Linked DNA regions of Stegostoma tigrinum. Each later gene encodes a partner of the first gene's protein in a complex. Links are inferred from orthologs where the notes say so. Each region holds a gene or a part of one and is shown on either strand. Other genes may lie near its edges. The genes, in order: kcnma1a and calcium-activated potassium channel subunit beta-4-like.

Region 1 (12,800 bases):
CTATTTTCAGATACCCTGTTCGAATTAGCTCAATAGGACTTAAAGTCACATTCATCCAGAGGTGTGTAATAACAAGTTTGAAAAAGTTGGCTAGAAAAATAGGTTAAATAAAAAAATTAAAGCCATAACCACAAAGTAGAAGATTTGTTTAAACAAGTTGTCGTGTAGTCCTTTTCACTTTAATTGTGGATAATTGGCAAAGAATGTGGCAATAAGGCTTTTTCTATTTTTCAATATCTGATGAGAGCTTTCTCTTTTGCCAAGCCAGTTCTTCAGTTTTTCTTAGCGCCTGATATTTCTGCTGTCAGCTAGAGCATCCATTGTATCTAAAGATGGAAAAATTAAATCAAGTAGTTTTCTGCTTTATTTCTTCTGTTTGTAAATTCTGCAACATCCCTTTTTGTTTGCAGCAATTTCATTATCCAGCCATTTTTAACAAAATATCAATAGAAGGAGTTAGAACTGATTGGGGAACAGCATGGGACAAGCTTGGCTTCTATACTAATTCAGACCTGCATGACAATTCAGGTCATTTTTTTACTTCCCTGGTGAGAATGGTGTGATGTTTTCTAACAGCACATTGATGCATCATTATTCTCTGTAGTGTCTGGTCTAACACGGCACAGGTTTGAAAATTAACCTGAATCACTGCGAACCCATGTATAGGAAAGCATGAACTAACATTCTAAGCAAGGAGTTGTGAGTACAGCCTGTTCTGAGGGAGCCATGTAAATCTGTGAAACATACTGGTATCTTTGTGGTCTTCATAGCTACGTATTCTGCAGGATGGTATCTTATCACATTGTGCCAGTAGGAGATATATATATGCCATATATGAAAACTCTGCAACCTATGTGCCCCGATATTCTTGAATGGTATCACAATTTATTCAGCGAAAACAACAAGAGCAACAAAATCTCCACGCAGTAGGATCCAGGCCATTACTGTGACTGGCCCCTAAGTAGTTTGTTCAAGGGACCCAACATGTCATTGTGTTGGAACATGAGTACTTCATGAAGGCCTCAATCACCACAGACTTTGCAGTGATATTTACATTATATGAACTTTTATTTGAAAAAGAGAATCATGATATTGCATTGTCTGCATACAACTCTATTTTTATTTCGATGCTAATTAAAGGACAATTCAAATCCCTTACTTCCAATTTTTCTATTCGATCTGTTTATAGAAATTTTGGCTTGAGTTACATGCCTTTGACCAATTGATCCTTTTGCTAGCTTTTTACAGGACATTCTATCTCTTGTTAACCCTAACATGCGCTTTTTGTCACTTTTTTTTACCAACACTAAATGATCCCAGGTGCATTTCTAAAAGTACATTAGATCACTGTCCTACAGCCAAATCGCTCATTATTTAGGACAGAAATGATACCCACAATCTGCAAATCTTAACTTTAACCTTCTGGTGTGCACTTCAGATGATCATGCGTTTCAGTGTGTCACCATCCCAGATTTTGACCTGACTAAGATTGTAGTTATTTTAATGAACCTGTTTAGACATATCTAAAATGGTATCCTCTTTCAATATCTCCACAGCAGCTGGTAATCTTCAAATGGTGAAAGAGTAACAAAGTTTTAAACTCTTGTATTTAGTCGCATGTAGAAGGGGACCTGCAGCCACCTAATACAATTATTAGATGAAGTGTTCTGTTAATTAATATATTATTATTAAATTAAGTTTACTATATTGACATAAATCACATAAAATAGGTTGTCAATCTTAAGAAGTTCACTGAAGAATCTTGTTGATTTTTATGATGTTTACCTGTTTGTGAATGTTGATTTTGATTATTGTCTTTTTGTTGCTGGTTTCTTGGGTATTTGAGTAAATTTCAGAAGTTGGACCTTTGGACTCTTTTGTCCTTGGGACTTAGTGATACATTTAGTGATTGTGACTGATCTGAAATCTGATACTATATTTCATTCAAACGTTTTAAAAAGAATGTCTCAATCTGGTGAAGTTACATCATCAGACTGTAGGCATGCTAAACAGCAGAATTAGTACACTGTTTTGTGATTTATAAAAAGATAATAACTAAAAGGGTTTTTTTTAGATTTTGGACTTTGAATTAGTTGCACATGAGTTTAGATGATTTATGTGACAGTTTTAATAATTAATCAGATCGGATTTTACCAAGCAATAATTTTAAACCAGTATGTGTCGGAAAACATGAGACTGAAAGCCTCTTGGATGGTTAATGGAAGTTCGTTTATATTGTCGGGTTTTACCAAAGGGCAGAGAAAATACCAAATACATTAACTTGCTCTTGGGTTTAGAAAATAAGGATTGATTTGAGATTAGAAAAACACAAGAAGTAGAAAAACACCTGGCTTAGTTTGAAGGAGATCTGACTGAAGGCAGATGTAAGAATAGTTTTTCCCCCAAAAAGGGGTTTGTTCAGAAAAGTTAAAGGGATAAGTCTTCTTAATGGAAAAGACCTCAGTTTTGTGAGTCAAAGAAACAAGCCTCAGAGTTCACAGGGCTGGAAATTAAAATGAGCATTTAAGCCAATTTACAGATTTGATAGGGAAGTGTTTTCTTTCTAGACTTTAATTTTCAAGTGTTGGTATTGGGGAGTAGATGGGATTTTGTTTTGCCAGGAATTTGAAATCTTTTAAACTGTGCTATTTTTAATTTCTCATCTAATAAACCTGTTTTCATTGCTAAAACCAAATCTGCAGTTATGTTTCAGTAAAAGACTGCCACATGAAATAAAGCAAAAATAAAATATGATAAATAAAGTTTCATCTGGGATGAAACCTGACCATTCGTAACATCAACTGTTATTATAACTTTGTGAATAAAGCTGATCAGAATCAGAGTCAATGGATGGGATTCAAACACTGACGGCTTATAACATTGTTTGTGAATAGTGATAGTCAGTTGAACAACTAATGAGAAATATCAGAGTGCTCTCCCCACCTCCAGATCATGAAGTAGGATACACCACAATGTGATTATGGTGATGAAGATTTGGGATTTTGGGATGAAAAAAGAAACCTATCAACTTTTTAGCAGTGACAAGGCTTTGGGAACTATTTGTTGCCATATCTCGATGATCATCTTTCAGTGTTAGTTACTATCCAAAACACTAATATTTAATATTATTACCTTCATTGTTGGAAAAAGACACATTTTGTCAAAGTTTTCCATCTTGCGCTCATCAGGATATTTCACAAGAATATCAATTCAAAGGGAAAACCAACATTTACATTCCATGAGTGGAAAGTGCTGATTGGTTGGCACATGGACTTGGTAGATGCATAACCATGGACAATGTACCAGTTAATAATGATTGACCATTTAATTGTCAGGCTTTATTTAAATTTTGAACTAGAATGTTGATTCTGATTGGTCAGGATATTGTCCTAAGAAATGAACTCAGAAATGGCTGTTTGTTAAGTTGAAAGACATGCAGTGCATTTATCTATTCTTACTGTCTTCTAAAGATCCAAGTATAATGCAACAACAGGCTCCCCTTAAAACATACTGCATGTTATTCCTTCAAGCAATTCGAACAAATAATTTCCCTTTCACAAAAGAATGCTGATCCTTCCTGATTAGTTCTAGATTTTTCAAGTGCCCTGTTGTAATCTCCTTGCTGATAGATTCTATCACCTTCCCAACAATAGATGTCAAACTAACTGGTTTATAACCTCCTGTTTTCTGCCTCCTTCCCTTCTTGATATTTGCTCATTTCCATTCCATTGAACTTTCTCAACAGTAATGAATTTCAGAAAAAAACTCCAACATGCTCCCTATCTCATAAAGCCACTTCCCTTTAAGACCCTAGAGTGAAGCCCATCAGGACCCAGAGAACTATCAACCTGCAATCCTCCATTAATTTGTTCAGTAACACTTCCCTTGTGTTCATAATTTTACCAAGATTCTCTTTACCTTCTACTTCCTGATTTACAGGCATTAAAGGGGTTTTTAAATATATCCTCTATCGCAAAGGCAGAAGCAAACTATTTATTCATTACTTCAACCATTTCTTTCTCACCTCATATTATGTCACCACTCACAACCTCTACAAGACCAAACCTCACTTTACTTAAATAAAACCAAAACACTATGGATGCTGCAGATCTGAAATAGAAAAGAAAGTACTGCAGAAACTCTGCAGGTCTGTCAGGATTATGGAGAGAGATAAATTTAATGTTTAGAGTTCAATGACTTTTCTTTGCAACACACTTTTCATTGACTTTATTTACTTGTGCTTTTCCTTTTGAGATGCCAACAAAAACTTTTGCTATTTGTTATATTTCTAGCAAGCTTCTTCTGATGATCTAATGTATTAGCCTTGATTACATTTTTAGCCATTCTCTGCTATTCGTTGTGTTCTGACCAGACATCTGACTCGTTATTCACCTTTGCTTCAGTTTGATGCTCTCCTTTATATCTTTAGTTAATCATAGATTATAGGTCCTTTCCTTGGAATTGTTTTTCATTGTAGGAATTAGCTTACTGTGAGTATTTTCGCATGTTGCTCCATATGTTTGCTTCTCAACTGATCTATTTCCTACCCTAATATCCCAGATAAATTTGGATAGCTCAGCTTTCGTGCCGTCATAGTCGACCATATTTACATTTCAAATACCAGTCTTAGACCCAATCTTATCCCCTTCAAACCAGATGTAAAATTCAATAATATTATGTTTGCCACTACCTAAACATGATTCCAATATTTTCTGTTAAAATTACATTTCCACATGTCGATATCACTTATGCTATTCTATCTTTTATACCTGATTCCTGAGAGAAAATTAAACTTTGAAATCTTTCAACGGTTTTGCATTCTGACCATGTTGGTGCCACTAAATATCTTCTTATACTATGCTCTTCCTTGAAATTCAGTCTTGTTGTAACTTGGTTTTGCTAATAATAGAAAATGACCAGAATAAAAATGCTTCTTTAACTCTCCTTTAACTTTGGCAACATCATGTTTCTTTCAAAATTAATTCTTGGAGTGGGGCTGGTAAGATGAAATCAGATTATGATACTAGTGTATGTACCATGTAGACATTTCAATAAGATGTCTTGTTATCTTTAACACGGATAGAATTACAATTTATTTTAAATTGGCTCATCCTTTGTTCAAATAATGGCCAGAGAAATTTCTCACAGAACTCATAAAAGCTTTTGTTACTATAATTGAAATGACAATAAAAAGATGACACAGCATCAAAATACAAAACTGGCTGGTAATTGTATTTGCAGTCATATGTTAAGGACAAGTTCAAATAGTGCTTTTCTGCTTCTGTTGAGGGACAACTGACACTGATAATATGTTCTGCTAATACAAAGTGATAATGAGAAATGTGGGAACTAACATTTATTTGTACGAACAGATTTTTTGAGATGTTTCAAACATTGTTGTTTTTAATTTATCTACATGCCAATGAGTGAAGAAAAATGTTCCACTGTGATATTGCCACTTTTAAGTTTAACAACTTATCATCATGTGCATTAATTTTATTTATTTTCTAAACTTTAGATACTATGTATTGAAGGATTCCAGCAGTGTTTAAACATGTGGGTGCAAGAGATTGTACTGAAATAAGATTTGGATAAATAAAAATAATGCTGTTCTCAAGTCTGTAAATGCAGAACACATTTGGGAGAACTGGCATTGTATGGTAGTAACTTCTGTTTTGCCTCTTGCTGCAGCATGTATTTTGCATCTTCATTCATTGTTTTCCTTTTCATGTGAGGAGATACTGCAATGGACAGGCACATCTGTCTTCTCAAACTGCTAACAAGGCTTAGGTATAGTTTGTAGTGTCCATTAGATCCCATTGACCAGCTGTGAAATATGAAACTTGGCTCCTTGCAAGAGTCACATAGCGCAATAAAATAAGAATCAGACTGGCACCTAACTCTTGATCTAAGCTGCCACTTTATACAAAGCTGTTCTACTTTTGCATAAACACAATAATGGCATGTTGACAGTCTTAAAACAACCATCAGGCTCCATTACATCTTCATTGATTATATTTTTAACGCCACACAATTTGAAAGTTGTTGAGGAACCAAATAAAAACTGAAGAATGTTGTCCTTTTTTTCAGGGACAACATTATCTAACCCAAATTATCTAAATCTCTAACTGACAAACTGGAAATCTTCTGAATATGCCAATTTCAAATTCAATTCCCCACTTTGCAAGTCAGAAAACATTTTAAAGTAAATATATCGGTCAACTTGAGTTTTGCAACGCGGACAAAGTTAGGCGAAAGACAAAAAGTCTGGAAACTCTCAGCGGGTCAGGTAACACCTGTTGAGGGTTTAACCAGGTAAATGTTTCTGTGCGTGAAATCCTCAACCCGGAGAACTGCAGCACAGCCACCAGATGGCAGTAGATGTACCATGCGGTTTAGTACGTTGTAAGTTGCTTCGTTTGTCCCAAGCACATTAACAGTTCTATTTAAACCTACGTTCATCCCTTTCAGTGCTGAGGTAGAATTAAGTTATCGAAACCTGCTAATTATAAAATGGTTTAGTTTTGTGTAACAGACTTTGATTTGACAGTGTTTTACTTGAGTAGCTAGTCAATTTTTGGGTGACACATTTTTCAGCAAGCATTTATTACTCCATTTTGACTACATCTATCTAATTGTGCATCAGTAATTTGTGGTGGTCTTTTGTTTACCAAACAAACATTTCGTTCGTCGTTATTTAATGCTTTCGGTATTACGGAACAAACTTTATTTTGCATTACTTTTATTATTCCTGGCGATTTAGCGTTGTGAATAAAACGTTTGAAAAAATAAGTTCAAGCAAACGAGCAAAAATCTGGATTTAATGTGAACGTCTGCAGGAGGCATGGCTGATATCGAAGATGCACAGTTGGCTACCGTGGCATTGACTCCCTTGCCAATCAATAAGCTATTTTTTTCCATCTAAATACCCCGAAAACTCTGAATGTGATTCCTAGGTGCAACCTTTTCAGTGGATGTTTCTGAGGCAGAAGCTGTTCTGTCGAAGCTTCCTCTAAATGCGTGTGTGTTCCTTATTTTAATGGGTCCGGCGGCTGGTAATTTGTCGGTCTAAAAAAAATGCCAAAATAAGGGAAAGCGCACAGCCACTGGAAGGGGTTAAAGCCCAGCCACTCTGGCACCACTGTATAGATTCGTGTTGCGAGAAGGTGATGATGAGGGTTATTGATTGTAACAATCTTGAGATATCAGCCCGCGAGATGATGCTGAACATACACAATAAATGGGAGAATCTTCTCGATAAACATCGCCTCCACCTCTTGAACACGGCCATTGACAAATCATCGTGTGGAAGATGACAGTTGAAAATGAATTGAGGATTTTATATAACAGGAGCAAGGCTTGAATTATATCCACGGAAATATAACTAATTATAGCCCCGTTGTATTGAATTGGAGCGCTCGGTCTCTGCCTGTGTCACTAGATGTCAGCTAGCAGTCAAATATTACAAAACTGTTGTTTAACGTATAACGATGAATAATTAGATCTTTATCATAACTACCTTTTATCACCAACCATTAAGAAATCGATAGGAAAACAACAGCAACTGTTCAGCTTTTCTCTCAACACCAATTTTCTGTTTTCAAAACCTCAAAATCCGTGACAATGATTTCAGGGGGAAAAATCTACCTGCAATTTGCACTAAAAAATAAGCATCGGTGTGGCTGCGGGGGAGGTCGAGATATTTGCGGAAGATGCGCTTTAAAGGCAAAAGGTGAAACTGCAAATGCATTCTTTGTGCAGAGCAAACATGATCACAAATCGAATTGAACAAAAAAAAATCATCTCTGGCAATTTGACTTGGGAGGGGAGGTGGTGGTGTGCAGTTGGAAAATGATTTAGTTGGGAAAGAGGTTGAGGAAATAGAATTAAATAAATGGAAGGGGCTGGGGAGAAAATCTGATTAATGCAATCAGTAACAGAGCGCTGAGGGGCTGTGCTGATCTGCATCAGTCGCTGCTCCTGTTCAGTCAGTAAGCAGCAGCAACCAGTGTGAGCAGATCTGGGAGAGGGAGTGGTTGGAGCAAACCCAGCAGCAGCAGCAACAGTAGTGTCTGTCCATCTCCTGGCTTTTGAAGAACGCTTTTTCCCCCCCCCCCCCGTCTATTTTTCCCCTTGAGAAAAACAACAATCAGAAATCCACTTATGATTGATCTTTTTGTATCTGTGTATGTATGTGACTGGAATCCCCTGCCGCTGCAGGGAAAGAGAGATATAAGGAGGCGACCAGCAACGATCTATTCGAAAGAGAAGTAAAGGAAGAACTATTCTACGGCTTTTTTTTTTAATTTAAAAGTCCCCTTCTGAACACAAGATTGGGGGAGAGAAACGAAAGGGACATTTTAAAACAAACCAGTCCATTATTTTATTTCTCCTTCTCCCTCCCCTCCCCTCAGGATTATAAACCTGACTGATGGGAATTTGCTCTGGGGATTATTAATTTGTCCGTGCGTCAGTTGTTGTGGAGATTGTGAGAAGTGTTGAGAAGAAGCTTTTCTCTCTCTCTCTCTCTCTCTCAGAAAGCTGTCGGTTGCCATGGCGGCTCCGGGCCTGGCGGAGGGCCTGCTCCTCCTCCGCCGCCGCGGCCTTTCCCTCTCCTCCCGCTGCTAAAGCCATGGCCCGGGGAAACGCCTCCTCCTCCTCCTCTTCTTCTTCCTCCTCCTTCACCGCCACCTCCAGCCGCCGGCACTCCGCGGCCCTGCTGAAGATGGATCCCGTCATCATCCCCATCGACGCCGAGACCATCTGCGACAGCAATGACCAGCGCATGTGGTGGGCCTTCCTCGCCTCGTCCATGGTCACCTTCTTCGGCGGCCTCTTCATCATCCTCCTGTGGAGGACCGTCCATTACCTGTGGGCTGTCTGCTGTCACTGCGGCCTCAAGAATAAGGTAAAGATTCTTTCTTTGTTTTTTTTTGGGGGGGGTGGGCTGTGTGTGGGGCAAGTGGACGCCGACCTTCTCAATAACATGATCTCCTTCAAGACTGTTCATTTCCATCAACTTGTCATTTAAATTCTGCCGCCCCCCCTTCCCTGTACTGAACAGGTTCCTCTCTCTCTTATTCCGCTCTCGTTTCTGAGGGAGAATTTAGTGCAAAAATGCCCCTTTTATCCACTAGGAGTCGTGAATAAAAGCGAAACTCGTTTTTTCCCTGCTGTTTATTTTGGAGGCTTGCTTTACTGCACCGGCTTTAATATTATTGTAGCTGCCTGATGTTAAAATGACTGAGCTGCCGCACAGGATTTTGCACTCGGTAAATGTTCAATGCACACGCGCGATTGCCACCTCCACCTGGTTTTAGAGTTTAATAAAGTTCCAGTGTCGCTGGAACAATCCACTTGTGGGTCATTTTGCTTATCATGGTTTGTATTCTGATGTTGAGGAATGTCAAGATGCGATAATGCATTGTATAATCGGATAGATTTCAACGAAGAGGGCTGCATTTTGGACGCAGGTCCTGATTTCTCATCAACCCTCTATGCCATTCTCTTCCGTACTATTGAGAGTAATGCCACCATTGTTGGGTGCAAAGTCTCTGAGGTAATGGATGTAAAACTCCCAAAGTAGACTCGCTTTGTAGATCACCCAACCGCGTTTCAATGGTAATGATGAACATCAGATTTTTTTTTCTGTCTGAATGCATATGACTGCTCTCCTGCAGTACAACCAGAAGACATTGCTGGGGGTACATTAATGCTGTCTGACAGAATATCAAACCAGCCACCTGTGAAGTGATATAAAATAGAATTTGTACACTGTAGCTTTAGTACTGGGCTGTAGGTTTCAATACAGGATTGTCACTCTCTGCTTTGCCAGCTCCTTTCATGAGTTCAGTACTCAGTTGTGAGCAAATGTACTTTCCTCCTCCACACTCCAAGCTTCGAGCCCAATTTAGTTCTCCTTTGCAGAGATTGCATGCCAGATCATTCACATGCAGCATTTCGCACAGGTCAAAGATTTGCCAGCAGCCATTGCAATTTAATATAAAACAATTTTGCTTTCAATAGAAGCAATCAAATATTGACCTCAGCCACATAGCACTGTACATTTGTTCAGCCTTATCAAGCATGAGCTGCACATTTTTATCCTACCAGGTAGAATGAGAAACAAATAGCTGTGGGCTTACTGAATTAGTCCGTGAGCCGCTCACTGCTTGGCTCAGAGCTTTAACTAATAGGGAATGGAATGAAGCAGCTGGATACGCAATCCAATACTGCCCAAACAAATGCAAAATCCTGGAGATGCTGGGAATCTGAAATAAAAACAAAATATGCTGGAAATAGTCATCAGTCTTGCTGTCTGATCTGAAACATCAAAACTGCCCATCCTTGTTCAACATTGGGAGAATACCTTCTGGTCTTGTGATTCAAGATTTGAAAGCATGCAATGAAGTACAACACCAGCTAACATCTTAACATTTCAAAGGTCTTATTTGGAGCCTAATTTGTCAACAGTATCTCAGTTTATCAAAAATAGACTCTCAAAAAATACATTTAGAAAGAATACTAGACAGAGTCTCTTCCTGTAAAGAGAGCTTTATATTTAGAATAATCTGGCAGTCGAAGTAACACAGACATGTCTATTAATGATAGTCAAAGTACACTTGGATTTTAGGCAGAGCTTGCTTGAATACTGGAGGAGTGGACTTTGGGTTCAATGAACTTCACTTCTGTTGTACTTTATGCGCATGTATTTCTTGGTCACGTTATTTGTTTTTAAAATTGTAACATACAATGTTTGGCAACAGAAAACCATCTTGGTTATGTTTCAGTTCAAAAACAAAACAATTTATGACATTGAGTGAGCAAGTTAACTGTGCAAAATTGATTGCAAGTCTTCAGTTTGGTTGCACTCCCACAGTAGTTTGTGGGTTCAAGCCCCACTTCAAGACTCGAGTTTGTTCTTTTGATTTAGTATAGTATTGTGGTGTCCTGCTGAATGGTAGAGGCACTGTGGTTTTGAAATGTTAAAGTGAGACATAATAGCTGCCTGCTTCAGTAGTTTTGCATGACGTTTAAATATTAGTATTTATAAAAGAGATGGGAGCATTCAGTGTCTTTCCTGGGTATTGCCAACTGAAATAGTATGCTATTAACTTGTTCATCTCTTTGTTGTTTATGACACTTCATATCACAAATTGGCCATCGTGTACATAAGCTACATACAAGCCCAGGTTGATGAGAAAATATCTGGATGTAGGTTTTCTCCTTGAATTGGCATTCATGCAAATTGCCCTGATAAAAGCAAAATGAAAAGCTTTTACAAAATGAGTAATTTCTTAGCGATATTTATACATGTTCATTGAGCTCCAGCAAAAACACAAGTTTATGAAACAGCTTTAAGCTTTCCACTGAAAAGACCCAATCAGTTCAATTCAGAGATATTATGACATGTCTCTGGAGCAGGTAGAACCTGGGCTCCGAGCCCAGAGCTAATTACTTAGCATGTGGACTAATTGGAAGAGGAGAATGCACGATTAACAGTTACCTATCAGATTTGTTTACACTTTAAACCAAGCAATTTGATTCTGACTGGTCAAGGTATTGCCCTAAGAAATGATCCAGTTATCTTTTTCTGTTGAATTGAAGCAGGTTGAATGTATGTAGTTTTTTTTGCTTGCGAAGAACCAAGTTCTGTGTATTAATGTGTATAGCTTCCAGTGTAAGAAAGAAGATAGTTAAATAGCCGATGATGCCACTCCACATGTTAGTGGTGAAAATCAGGTGTGTTGAGTTTTTATTGCTCCATATCTCTTCAATCTCCTCCATCCTACATTCCCCAGAACTTTGGTCTCTGTGCGTTTCTACCATGTCTTGTCCCAACATTGCTTTAAGCTGTAAAGTTTCGAAACTGTGCAGTCCCTGCCCAAAACCTCGTGGCTATCTCTTTAAATAAGCTTTTTGACCAACCCTTCCACTTCTCTCCTTTTTCTGACTGACTAGGTGTCCAATTTTGTTTACTTAGAATCTTTTTGAAACATCCTGAGATGTGTATGTATAAACAAAACTTGATTTAAAACAATGGCCAACATACTGAAAATATTTTTGTTTAAAAGTTGTTTGTTCCCTTATCTATTAATGATTCCACTGTGTAAAGTTAAACATTTGAAGATGGGGTTCCTGTAATTTAAAATCCAGAACAACTTTAAGGATTCAAAGGATTCATGTTGTGGACTTGATGATAAATCCAGACAGAATGAAATTATCAGCGTAGCTCTTATGCAGTCTTCTCAATGATTTTATCAAACTTTTTATGAATAAAACCAACATCAAAATGTGTAAACTTGATTGTTAGGTTGTGCAAGGCCATTGAAATCACTGAAATAAGGGTGTACAGTGTCCTAAACTGTCAATGTAATCCACAGTCTTTTGCTCCTTCCCCACTGGGACAAGAGTACTATTTAACTACGATTTATCTTGACAATTTAAGACGGATTTAACGATTTTCTCATTTCTCTAATTACAAAATATTAATTATTCATTATGCAGCATCAATGGATTGACGCATCAGTGGATAAACACAAGGCTCATGGGGCTGCTGAGACATTCTCAAAGATCAGTCATAGATTCATTGTGATTTATGCTGGGAAGCTGCTTTAAACCAGGATGACAGTGGACTGGTGCAGAGTCCCCGACTTGTTGTGGAAGTGACGAAGAGTAAATCTGTTTAGGTTACTGCTTCTGGTATCCATTCACCAACTTCCTGGTGGAAGGTGCAAGTTTAGTGTTTTGTCTTAGTTTATGTGGGAACAGAATTGGGCTGCGATGCCTTCTTCAGCATT
Region 2 (11,895 bases), on another chromosome or scaffold:
GACTCTCAATTGCTTTCTTACTAAATTCTTGATTTCAGTGAAGTAGAAGCATGTTATGGTGACATTTTTTATAATGATTAGTGCTCTTTCCAAAGTTGAAAGAACTTTGAGAAATAGGTCACAGGATGTTGATAGGGAAGAAAGGTGTGTGTTTTCTTTAAGTAAGGTGAAAGATTACATTATTTACAGCAGCAAATTATCATGATACATATACTTTTGCTTTCATTATGTTCCTCAAACAGGACCGCATACCTCCTTTGTTGATGACCCAAGTCAGTGCATAAGTGTAGTCACTACATAATTATCTCTTTCCCCAATTTTTAAAATGCCATTTAAACATTGTGGATACAACATCATAAGGTAAGTCTAACAAACTGTTTTAATTGATTTTTTTGGTTGTCACGGTTTTTCTGTTAATTAGTAAAAGCATCTTGTGGTATAAGTTGAACTTTCACCAATGACAGCATCTGTAGATGCAGTCCCTTGGTTGTAATAATTACAGAATGGCATTTTAGCTATGGAGGGCCTTGCATTTATATAGCACATTTCACAAACAAAGCATTTTATCCCTAATGAAAGATTTTTTTTTAGGAAATGCGGTCACTGCTTTAAGAAACATTGTACGCCAATATAAACTGGTTGCAATCTGAAATGTGGTAATCCCTAGATTAATCTGTTAAATAGGTTCAGGGATAAATACTGACCAGGATACCAGGCACCACTTCCCTGCTCTTGCATGGAAACAAGATGCAGTCGGCCATTCCGTTCCATGAACCTGTTCTGCCATTCTAGATCATGACTGATTATCTACCTCAGTCATTTTTCTATGAAACTCCCATAAATCCATTGATGTCAATTGTATCTCAAACCATTGATCTCGGTCTTGAACATGCTTGATTACAGAATTTCCATAATCTCCACAGATTCACTGCCCTCCATGTGAGGAAGTCCCATCATACGCCAGTCTTAAGTAGCTTATTGTAAGACTGTTCCCATGTTCCATAGCCAGGGAAACCCTCCCTATTTAGCCTTTAAAAAGTTTTAATAAGATCACTGTCATTCTTAACTCTACAGAATACAGGGCCTCGTCACTTGATCGGACTGTAGCACATTCCCACCGGTTACTGTGGTAAACCTTCATTGCACTCCTGTGATTAGGCGTAGAAACCAAAACTGCAGCATAATTCCAGGTGCAGACTCACCAAGAGTCCCCATACAATTGATGAAAGAGATCTGTCCTCCACCAAAATTCCTCAAAAGTCAAACTATCATTTGCTTTCCTGATTGTTGCACCGACATGTTAGTTACGAATAAGGATACATGCCAGTCTCTCCATTTTAAGAAATACCCTGCATTTAGTTATTCACTGTAGATTTCATTTCTATATTTCCCCATTCACTCAATCCCTCCAAATCTCCTTGAAGTGTGTTTGTATCCTCCTCACACCACACGTTTCCACCTATTGTAATGTCCTTGCCAAATGTAGGAATATCAACTTGTTCTGAGATTAAATTACGCATCTCTAGAGCAGGTGGGACTTGAACTAAGGCCTTCTGTCCTAGGGATAGAAACGCTATCACTTCACAAATGCCCCCCGTCAATATTGATACAAATTGTGAACAGCTGAGCCCAAACACCACTACTTGCAGTTTCCTACTTGCAGTTTCCAACTAACAGCAGCCTGCAAACCTGAGAAAGACACATTTATTTCTTCAGTTTTCTTTCCATAAACTAATCTTCAGTTAATACTAGTATATCACAACTAAGTTGTATTTTTAATCGTGTATGTGCAAGGTGGTGGCATAGCGCTATGTTACTAGACATTCAGAAGCCCTGCTTAATGGTCTGGAGGCATGGGTCTGAATCCCATCATGGCAGATTATAAAATTAAGCCCATTCAAAAATGAAGTTAAAAGTTGACTGTTGTAACAACTATCCGTTGTTGGGGCTTTTGTGTGGCGGTAGTGTCCACTAGGGCCAGAAGTCCTCTAAGGTATCCAACCCTGTACCTTATGCTCCAAATTAGTTTGTCAACTTGTGTGGGAACTTAGCTGCTTTCTGAAAACCCGAATACAGCATACTGGTGCTGAAGCACCCTCCCCATCACCGAGCACCTCTTACCCAATACAGTTATGCTGACGATGCATGCTTTTGATTTAACGATAAAATTCACATCAAATATTGGCGTATTTGGGAGCTTGCTGCATGTTTAAATTCATGCCGAACATCAAAGTGAAGATTTCCGGTTGTAAGGTTTTATGAAGAGATGAAAGTGGGCCTGTTGTGCTATGGGCACATGTGGGCCTATGTTCACAATGAACCGCCTCGAATTTAATTCCTGGAAGAAATTTCAATTATCCTTAACTTGACACTGACTAAGCCTCGCTCAAGAGAGGAGGGAATGTAACTAGTACGAGAATCTACTCAATGAAGTTAGTAGACTGAGTATTCACCAACATTAACCTCACGTTTAATGGCAGGTAGTTTGGCTTTGATTTGGTTTGTTAACAAATATTTTCTTCAACATTACTTGCTAATGTCACTGGTATTCCCTGAAAAATACTTTTGCATACGTTCCTGAATACTTATTATTGTTACTTTGGAGGAATCTAGCCATCAAGATGTCCGGACAGAACAATAGTATAGGGGTGCTCTTCGACGATGGAGAGCATCACAGACGTTCGATTTCAGTGTTCGCCATCCTCGAGCGCTTTACAGAAAAGGGTAGCTGTTTTAAGATGAGTTGGACTGCAAAGCTGCTGGGAGGGTCTAATTGCTACTCGAGCTTCAATTAACTAACAAATCGCGTATATTCACTCGTTAATTAATTAGTGGGGCCATAATTAACATTTTAAAAAAATCCAAACCCCACTTTACCCAAATATGGCATGCTCTATATTTGGTTCTGGTTGATGTGTACTTGAAATAAATCGAGGTCACCCAGTTTTCCAAACCAATTTAATTATGATCGAAGGTTGTGTCGTTCGATAACCATACACCAGAAATGGAAAAGTGGTTTGTACTGGGCATTGTACACAAGGCCACCCTTCGTCCAAGGTCAGGACAGTAACGTACAGGTTCACATGGAGTAGTTATTTGGAAGTAAGCTGCTGGAAAAAGAGGTGATGCTGGGCCTTATCCCCATAATCTACTAGATATTCCTTCCATTTTAGTTTACAAGATGTGTTTTATCGTCCCCCCACCAACTCATCCGCCAAATTTAATTTTAAAAAAAGCCAATACAGACATTGCAATAGCCTCCCCCTGCATTGGTAATTTCTGCCGTTCTCATTTCAGATATTAACTTGTTACTTTTGACTCAAATCGGTCACGCTTGAGTACCTCCACCGGATTAATAATTCTTCACACGTGAATTTAACTACGAACACTGATCAGCTGAAACCCTTCACCTGGACTTCCAGCAGGAGTTGTTGATCGGGGGGTAATCCAATCGATTGTTTTCTCCCTCTTAAGGAACGCTATTTTTAGCTTCAGCCTGTTTACGATTAGCAAGTTTAGTAGTGTGGACATGGGATGATTTGTCTGAGCCAAACTAGCAGGTGAACGTTTGTTCAGGTTAAGCCATTTTAAAAAAAATCATGTTTATCTTTTTACTATGTTGCCCTGAACTGGCCACAGTAACACTAAACATCTTTTTCGTTTCAAGCTGTTTTTGATACGGCTTTCGATTTACCTTGCCTCGCTAACATTCCTAGTGATTCAGAAACCATAAACCAGCCTGCTTTCATTGTAGGTTGGTCATCTTTAAACTGTGTCAGTGGGAAGACAAAGTTAGAAACTAGCTGGATGGATCTTTGTCACTTCAACGTCGTCACAAATATAACCAGCAATGATAAGACAATGAGTAACATACCTGCTTGAGATGTAGTATTTTAACATGAATTGTAGGAATTGATGTAGTAGAAAGCGGGCAAACGTGATTCCAGTCATATGACTGAACGCATACACGCTTAGTCAAAACTACAAGCTAGGTTCTTCCCATTCCCCCGCCCCCAAAAAGGGGCTGTAGTTAACGTAGATAGTTTTCTTTAATAACGTACCTCCAGTGTGAGTATTGTTTTCGGTGACAGTTCAAAGAAATTGGTTTTGCAGTTGTAAAAGGTTTCTTTGGCCCTTCACCACCTCCAGCCCAACTATCTCTAATTCAGTTTCAACAGCTGTTGTCAGGCTTGCAAACATTTCCTGAAATGTTTCCATTCTGGATTCCCAGCACCTGCAGTGTCTGGTTTTACTGAAAATTCTACCAGATTAGTGCAAACGTTATGGAATAATCCATTTTTTGTTTTGTACGGACTGTTTTGCGATGTCTGGCTAAATATTCCTAACACTTTTCCTTTTATGGCATTTCTATGCATTTCTTTAAAGCACAGCAAGTAACTTACAAAACCAAACAGTTCCCTCCCTTTCTTCAGCTGGCAAAGCTACTGACATACCCGACACATTCTGAGCAGTTGTTTCTTCAAAAGGTAGGAGTCTGAGATGAGGAACGCTTTCCGTCCAACTCGTCCTGCCTTTCTCATAGGTCCTGCTGTAGTAGAGCTCCAGGACGGGTCAATTAGCTAATGACCTCGCTAACTGAAGACTGAGTATGACACGGTTAAGGCAGCGAAGACATTAATTCGCGGATCCTTGCAGGGTGCTAGTTCCGAAGAGGAAGATGAGAAGTTCTATACACAACCTTCATTTGTACCCTGATCCCATTTCCTAGATACATAGTGTGAGGTGAGATGATGAGACTGCTTGACGTGGATTATTCCTCCCATCATTCTGGTTAAACGTAAACCGAATGGTAAGCAAATAATTCATCACTTCCATCGTTGAAAGGACAAGGAACAGAATTGATGAGTTTTGAGTCCAACACTGTTGTTGACACCAGAAGAGAGCATGTCCAACAGTGTAACCTCCTACAGGAGGTTTCTGGCCTCTTAAGCCATCCCCATGTTTGAACCACGCCGCCGTTTGGCAGCCGTGCCTTCAATCGCCGCCACCACCACCTTCGCCCCCCTAAATCTTTCCAAGTCTCCCCCCCCCCCGTTTTCCACAGACCCTGGCGGTGGGGTGGCTGATCACCGAAAACAGTACTCACACTGGAGGTACGTTATTAAAGAAAGCTATCTACGTTAACTACAGCCCCTTTTTGGGGGCGGGGGAATGTGAAGAATCTAGCTTGTAGTTTTGAGTAAGCGTGTATGCGTTCAGTCATATGACTGGTGGTAGTTGCGGGAATGAAGTTGACTGAAATGCCGGTGGCACCCCGTTAGCCTTAAGCAGGGGGCGGGCTCTTGGGGTGGCTTTGTGACCACGAAGGGGTTCGAGACGAGGAATAGCGTACCCCCTCTCCAAATGAAGCTGGAGGTAAAAGCACACTATCTTTCAGCCTTGCAGGCATCTTGCAGCATTCAGTGAGTAAGTTCCGTAGAATCCAGTAGGGTGATTTGTTGGACCCCCCCGGGCGTTAGGCCGTGCCCTGGCGGCAGTGTTATACAATGGAAATTCATCGCTACTGCTGCTGTTTCAGGGCGCAAACTGTGCTCCAAATCTCCGCGATTTCTGGCGCTCTTTGATGCTATCGGACTGCCCAGAGAGGAATTGGAGGAACTGGAAAAAATTCCACGCGCCCCACCGCCACGATGTGATTTATACACAGGCAGGAAAGAAAAATGTTAGAGGGAAGGAAAGCCGCTTTCTGCTGGGCCAGGTTCAATTAACAGATCGTGGGCATGAAATGGACTGCTCTGTCTCTCCGCCGCTTCTTCGCGACGTGCTGCTGCCCTGGTTTAACATTTTACAGGATCACCTCGGGAACGGAGATGGGCGCCAGGTAAATATAGCGCAAAGTTATTGATGGACCTCTCGGAATGACTTCTGCATCTGGAGAGATTCTTTCAGACTCTTCTATTTGAAACTCACGACAGCATCCTTATTCACAAGTTTATGTATTTTATCTGATCAATGTATCAGTTACATTAGCGCAAGTTCTGGTTCTATTTAGAATTCTATTATGTGACTGTGACATGCCTTCCTCAACCATATAATGAACTTAACGTGCTCTGTTGCGGACAGTGAGAGAACTTTAATACTTAGTGAACGGTTGATAGGAAGGACGGATTAAATACGAAATAAAAACCGAAAGAACTGCGGATGCTATAAATTGGAGACTTATTTCTGGTTTAAATGCTGTCCTATTGGGACATAGGGTTCTGTAGGTAAAACACGCCCAGGCTGCAGCCCTCAGGGAAATGCCTTGTACCACAGCCCTACTCTGTAGTGGGGAGTCTCTGTCACCCAAAGGCGGATCCAGAAATGCCATCTGCCAGTTCCTCGGGGGCATCATTAGCACAGAGACCCTCCCACTGCCTGGCAGCTCAGTCTGGCAGATATGATCCTTAGCAGAGCAGTTAGTAAACAGCAGCCGCTGAGAGCTGTGAGCTATTTCTATCTAAGTAGCTTACCTCATCCAGATGTAACTGACAGGCTTTGCACAGCGGCATCGGGGCTAGAGGGAAAGCCGCACGTAGCTTTTACATGCCCAAAAAGAAAGCGAACAAAATGCGGATATTTCCTCTGCAACAACAACGAAGTTATTCAGGAGTTTTAGCCGCCGGTTGTCGAGGCTGAACTGTGGAAAGTTTTTAAAGCGGTTGCCCAGGGCTAAAGCCTGCACTAGATTGTGGATGTGTTGAGAACTTCCTCAGGGCGAGCGAGTCGCCATCTGATGGCGAAGCCCAGGGTCACTTATGAGTATTCCGAGGCCGAGGATAAAAGCATTAGGCTCGGCTTCTTCCTCATAGTCTCCGGCATCGTCTCCTTATTCATCCTTGGCTTTTGCTGGTTAAACCCCACGCTGAACAACATGCAGTGTAAGGCTGCTAACTGTACGGTGCTGTCGTTGCGGCAAATCGCTGAGATGTCTGAGTGCACTTTCACATGTGGGGCAAATTGCAAAGGCACGTCGCTCTATCCCTGTCTCCAGATCTTCGTAAACAATTCCCAAACTAACAGCCAAGCGCTGCTCCATTATGACGAACAACAACTCATTCGAAACCCTAAGGTAAAGTGAGCTGTTGCTGTGTCACTCTAAAGAGGCTTAAAATAAACCTAGGGACATGAACGTTTAACGATGTTGTATATATTTTGCAGTCATGTTCCACGGCATCTTATTTAGCGCGTGCAGTTTCTTTAATATATTAATTGTACTTTCTGGAAAAGATACAGTAACTTTTAGATAATTCAGAGGTGAATATACAATCAGTAATTACTAATGTTACCTAACTGTACAATAGACATGCACCATCGTGTTGTTAGGTGGCAATTGTCTGATCTCTAAGTCCCCGCACAATCCCAGTTAGACTTCCATGTGGGACTAGGGAAGTGCTGTCTTTTGGATAAGATGTTTAACCTAGTTCTCTGTGCCCCTCAGGTGGGTAAATCCCACAGCCCTATTCGATGAGGAGTGAGTTCTCCCAGTGTTTCGGCCGTCCTTTGCCAATCAAAAAGCATCACCCAAACGTTATTCGTTCAAGAATTGGCTGCCTACCTTACAACAGTACTTCATTCATTGCAATGCACTTTGGAATGTCCTCTACGGTACATTATAAATGCAAAGCTTTTGTTCAGTAAAAGTTTTTTGTTTTGTATGAACAACAACTAATGGAACAAAGGCTTAAAGATGCTTCCTGACTTTATTCAACAAGTAATTTGTATTTTGAAACCTTTTAAAATCTCTGTCGTATTGATTTACATAGGTTAGTGTAGTTATCAAATCCAGGATGCACTTAATTGATGAAGTAATGTATGAATAAAGTGCAGCTATCCAATATTCCAAGCCAATTCATTTTTAAAAAGTCAATAATAGATGCTATGGGGTTTTTCTAAAGAAAAAGGTTAATCACACATCCGAGTAAATGACACAGAAATCTTGGTTGAGTAATTTGGAGATAAACTTGTCTAAATAATCAATTTTTAAAAATACAGCCCGGTGTCATTCAAACAATTGTATTTCAATAAAATATAACACAGTTGTGTTTTTTGAAATTCTTTCCAGTTGTTCAACTAAAAAGAAACCTACAGAAGTAGCATTAAAATTGATACTGGCTTAGCTCAAATCCACTTGCTGGGCTCTTCTGATTTACATTTTGGGGCAAGAATATCAAGACATATGTAAACAGTACAAACACTGATAATATTTAGATGCAAGCAGTTCCAAATTATGAAACACCACATGAAAATTGATATTTGCCAGTCTCACTTGAGCTCCATTAGTTGGGAGAGGATCTGCCAGATGTGAAATAAAACCAAACAGGCAAGAAAACAGAAATAATTATGTTCCTACAATGAGCCTGTGTGTGCAGTGTGCTAAAGATGGTCAGACTTCCCACTTCTGTTCAATAATCATTATCCTGTGCTGAAGAGTGTCAAATGTGCTTTTTCAAAGAGGATTGGAAATTATTGAGATACCCTTAAAACGAAATATTCTGGTGACGTTTGTCCTGTTGATTTCCATCATGCTGAATGTACATTTCAGCAAGGTACTGGAAAGCCATGATGCCAACAGGACTGTGTTTCTGCATGAATCAGTGTCTTTGAAGGTATATGATGGCTTGCAACCTCCCAACAAAATAGGGCTGCCTATTTGTAGGACAGCAAGGTGTTGGCATTTTAAGTGATGCTGAATTGGGGCAATGGTCAGCATCCTCCTATCAGCTGAAAGTGTATCTGAAAGCAGGAGTAATGGTGTTGAGGTTGGTTGGTTCACCAAACTGGGTTGTTGTTTTGCAAATGTTTCTTTACCATGGTTGGTAACATCCTCAGTGCAGCCTTTGATGAAGCGTCGGTCTGTTTTCCTGTCTGGTTTTTAAACTCTGGTCCATTGAGATGGATTGCCTCACTTCTGGGTTTCCTTCGTAGTGGAATGCATATGGGGTCGAGTTCAATGTGTTTATTAATAGCATTCTTCGTGGAGTACCATGCTTCCAGGAATTCTCGTGCTTGTCTCTGCCTAGCCTGTGCCAGGATCTTGGTGTTGTCCTAGTCATGAGTATTGGTCGTGTCTTTTTGTAGCCCGTTGGTGTTCTACTCTTGTTAGTTTCATTCCTGTTTGTCCGATGTAGTGTTTCTCACCGTCTGTCTGTAGGGGATCTTGTAGATGACATTGGTCCTGTCCATGGTGGGGTGTGGGTCTTTAGTTTGGGTGAGCAGTTGTCGTAGGGTTAACATGGGCTCCTATGCCACACTGATGCCCAGTGGTCGTAGGAGTCTTGTGGTGAGTTCTGATGTGTTCCTGATGTAGGGTAGTTTGAGTGTGTTGGGGCATGTAGGATCTTTCTGTTGCTGTTCTTGTAGGCATCTTCTGACTCAATTCTTTGGATATCCATTATCCTTGAACACTTGGAAGAGATATTTTTCTTCCTCTTGGTGTAGTTCCGTGCTGCTGCAGTGTGTTGTCCTTTTAAACCGTGTTCACATACAACTTCTTTTGTGTGTGCTAGGATGGTTACTGTGGCATCTTATATATTATGGCATCATATCCGACACTTCATCTGAGGCTACAACCAAGTACATGAAGGAAACATCTGCAAAACAACAAACCAGCTCAGGGAGCCAATCAATCTCCAAACCCACAACCAGAGCTACAGGTCTTCTAAAACCTTAGAGACCTATGGGTGCAACATGCTTGAATTGGCAAGAAAATGGGAAAACTATGCCAAATGAGAGAGTGCAACCTGCGAGCCACTCTACTCGCTACTTGGATACCTTAGGAACGGGGTATTACCAACAGTGTGAAGTACAAACCACCCATCAACAACCCACAGCCTGGAAAACAGCAGTACAAAATGGCTGCAAGATGGTAAGGGTAATGATAAACTATGCACCCAACTGGCTCCATAAATACAACAGAGCAATTATGTACCAAAAAATGTTATTCCTGGAAGCTACCAATCAAGACTGGACAACTGACATGGAATGAGCCATTAACATCAGCCAACAGACCACAAAAGCCAAGAAAAGACAGACCCTGCATGACAAGCTAGCCACCCTTACCCACAAAAATGACAAGAACAGAACTGACACATGGATAAGAAACCTCTCCGACGGGAAACTGACAGACGTGGAAAAAGTAGTTCTCACCCAAGGACTGAACTACAACTACAGGGAAGCCAATAAAACAGAATGGCCATCTACACTGGAAGCCACACTCAAGACCAACAATATCAATGAAGAAACAGTACAAACTATAAGACAGATAGTAGTCCTAACACTAACCAGAAAGAGGGAACTCACCACCTTCAACGCACAGCAAAGACAAGCCCTGGACAGATTTAAAGAAGGACAAGAACATCACTATACTACCTGCAGACAAAGGGTTCCTGGCAGTGATAATGAGTAAAAGGGACTACATCTCAACGGCACAAACACTGCTTGCTGATGAGAACACATACTGGCCAGTACAGACTAACCTGACACCGCAACTAGGCAAAAAATCCTTCACATGCTACAAAGACTTAAGCAAACTGGACAGATCAACAAAACAGACTTCTTAAAAATGGAACCTGAAGGAACCAACACACCCCACTCGACGGCCTCCCTAAAGTGCACAAGCCAAATGACCCCTCAGACCCAGGCACTCCATCACACAGGTTAGCAAAGGAACTACAATGAAGATTCGGGCACCAAGTCAACAAGTCACCCCACTCTATCCATTCAGCCCAAGAATTCCTCAACTCCATCAAAGGCATAAAGATAGAAGAGACCATGATATTGTTTGATGTCACTGCCCTATTCACATCAATAGACTTGTCACTAGCAAGGGGAACAATGACAACACTACTTGAACAAGAATATGACCCCAGTGAAACCATCTCCAAGGGTAACATGCTAATACTATTGGACCTATGCCTGAGAACCCACTTCACCTTCAATGGCCAAACATACGAGCAAATCAACGGGACACCCATGGGATTGCCTATCTCTGGACTCATAGCAGAAGCAGTGATGCAAAGGCTAGAAAGGATGGCCCTTCTGCAACTCCAACCTAAAAAGTGGATATGCTACGGAGATTATACATTTGTCATCGTTAAACAGACCAAATTAGTAGAGACACACAAACTTATAAACAACACCCTCATCGGAATAAAATTCACTAGAGAGGAGGAGAAGAACCAACAACTCCCAGGGTGACACGGTGGCTCAGTGGTTAGCACTGCAGCCTCACAGTGCCAGGAACCCGGGTTCGATTCCAGCCTCGGGTAACTGTCTGTGCGGAATTTGCACATTCTCCTCGTGTCTGCGTGGGTTTCCTCTGGGTGCTCCAGTTTCCTCCTACAGTCTAATGATGCACAGGTTGGGTGGATCGGCCGTGCTAAATTGCCCGTCGTGTTCAGGGGTGTATGGGTTATAGGGGGATGGGTCTGGGTGGGATGCTCCAAGGGGTGGTGTGGACTTGTTGGGCCGAAGGCCCTGTTTCCACACTGTAGGGAATCTAATCTAACCTAAAATGGGGAGCTGCAAACGAAAATACACCAAAACACCACACACGCAGACCAGGTACTGAACTTCAACAGTGACAATCCCAGCATGCACAAACAAAGCTGCGTGCAAACACTGTTTAAATGGGCAACAGCACACTGCAGCAATATGGAACTACGCCAAGGGGAAGAACAATACCTCTTCCAAGTGTTCAAGGATAATGGATATCCAAAGAATTGGGTCAGAAGATGCTGACACGAACAGCATCAGAAAGATTCTACACGCCCCGACCCACTCATCACACTAACCTACATCAGGAACTTGTTAGAACTCACCACAAGACTCCTACGACTGCTGGGCATCAAGAGTGGCACACAAGCCCACATCAACCCTATGACAACTGCTCAG

What was found.
Region 2: the proteins of kcnma1a (region 1) and calcium-activated potassium channel subunit beta-4-like are in contact, whole or in part, in a cryo-EM structure (PDB 6V22), measured with the Homo sapiens proteins. The link is inferred for Stegostoma tigrinum from reciprocal best matches to the Homo sapiens genes KCNMA1 and KCNMB4. Residues at the interface, in NP_001154824.1 of Homo sapiens: Phe98, Phe99, Leu102, Phe103, Leu106, Leu107, Arg109, Thr110, Tyr113, Leu114, Thr116, Val117, Asp238, Leu240, Trp241, Leu244, Pro327, Trp328, Asn330, Gln332, Leu367; in NP_055320.4 of Homo sapiens: Thr11, Glu12, Ala13, Glu14, Lys16, Ser17, Leu20, Leu24, Ile34, Phe35, Cys38, Trp39, His105, Thr164, His165, Val183, Leu186, Ile187, Leu190, Thr191, Ala194, Leu197, Ala198, Lys200, Ala201, Met204.

Annotation. Positions count from the first base shown.
Region 1 is NC_081390.1:16,016,275-16,029,074, reverse strand, and holds the start of kcnma1a (calcium-activated potassium channel subunit alpha-1a), read left to right. Parts: upstream 1-7,975; 5' UTR 7,976-8,632; coding exon 8,633-8,908; intron 8,909-12,800. UniProt on the Homo sapiens protein: Potassium channel activated by both membrane depolarization or increase in cytosolic Ca(2+) that mediates export of K(+). It is also activated by the concentration of cytosolic Mg(2+).
Region 2 is NC_081371.1:45,105,294-45,117,188, reverse strand, and holds the start of calcium-activated potassium channel subunit beta-4-like, read left to right. Parts: upstream 1-6,389; 5' UTR 6,390-6,736; coding exon 6,737-7,072; intron 7,073-11,895. UniProt on the Homo sapiens protein: Regulatory subunit of the calcium activated potassium KCNMA1 (maxiK) channel. Modulates the calcium sensitivity and gating kinetics of KCNMA1, thereby contributing to KCNMA1 channel diversity.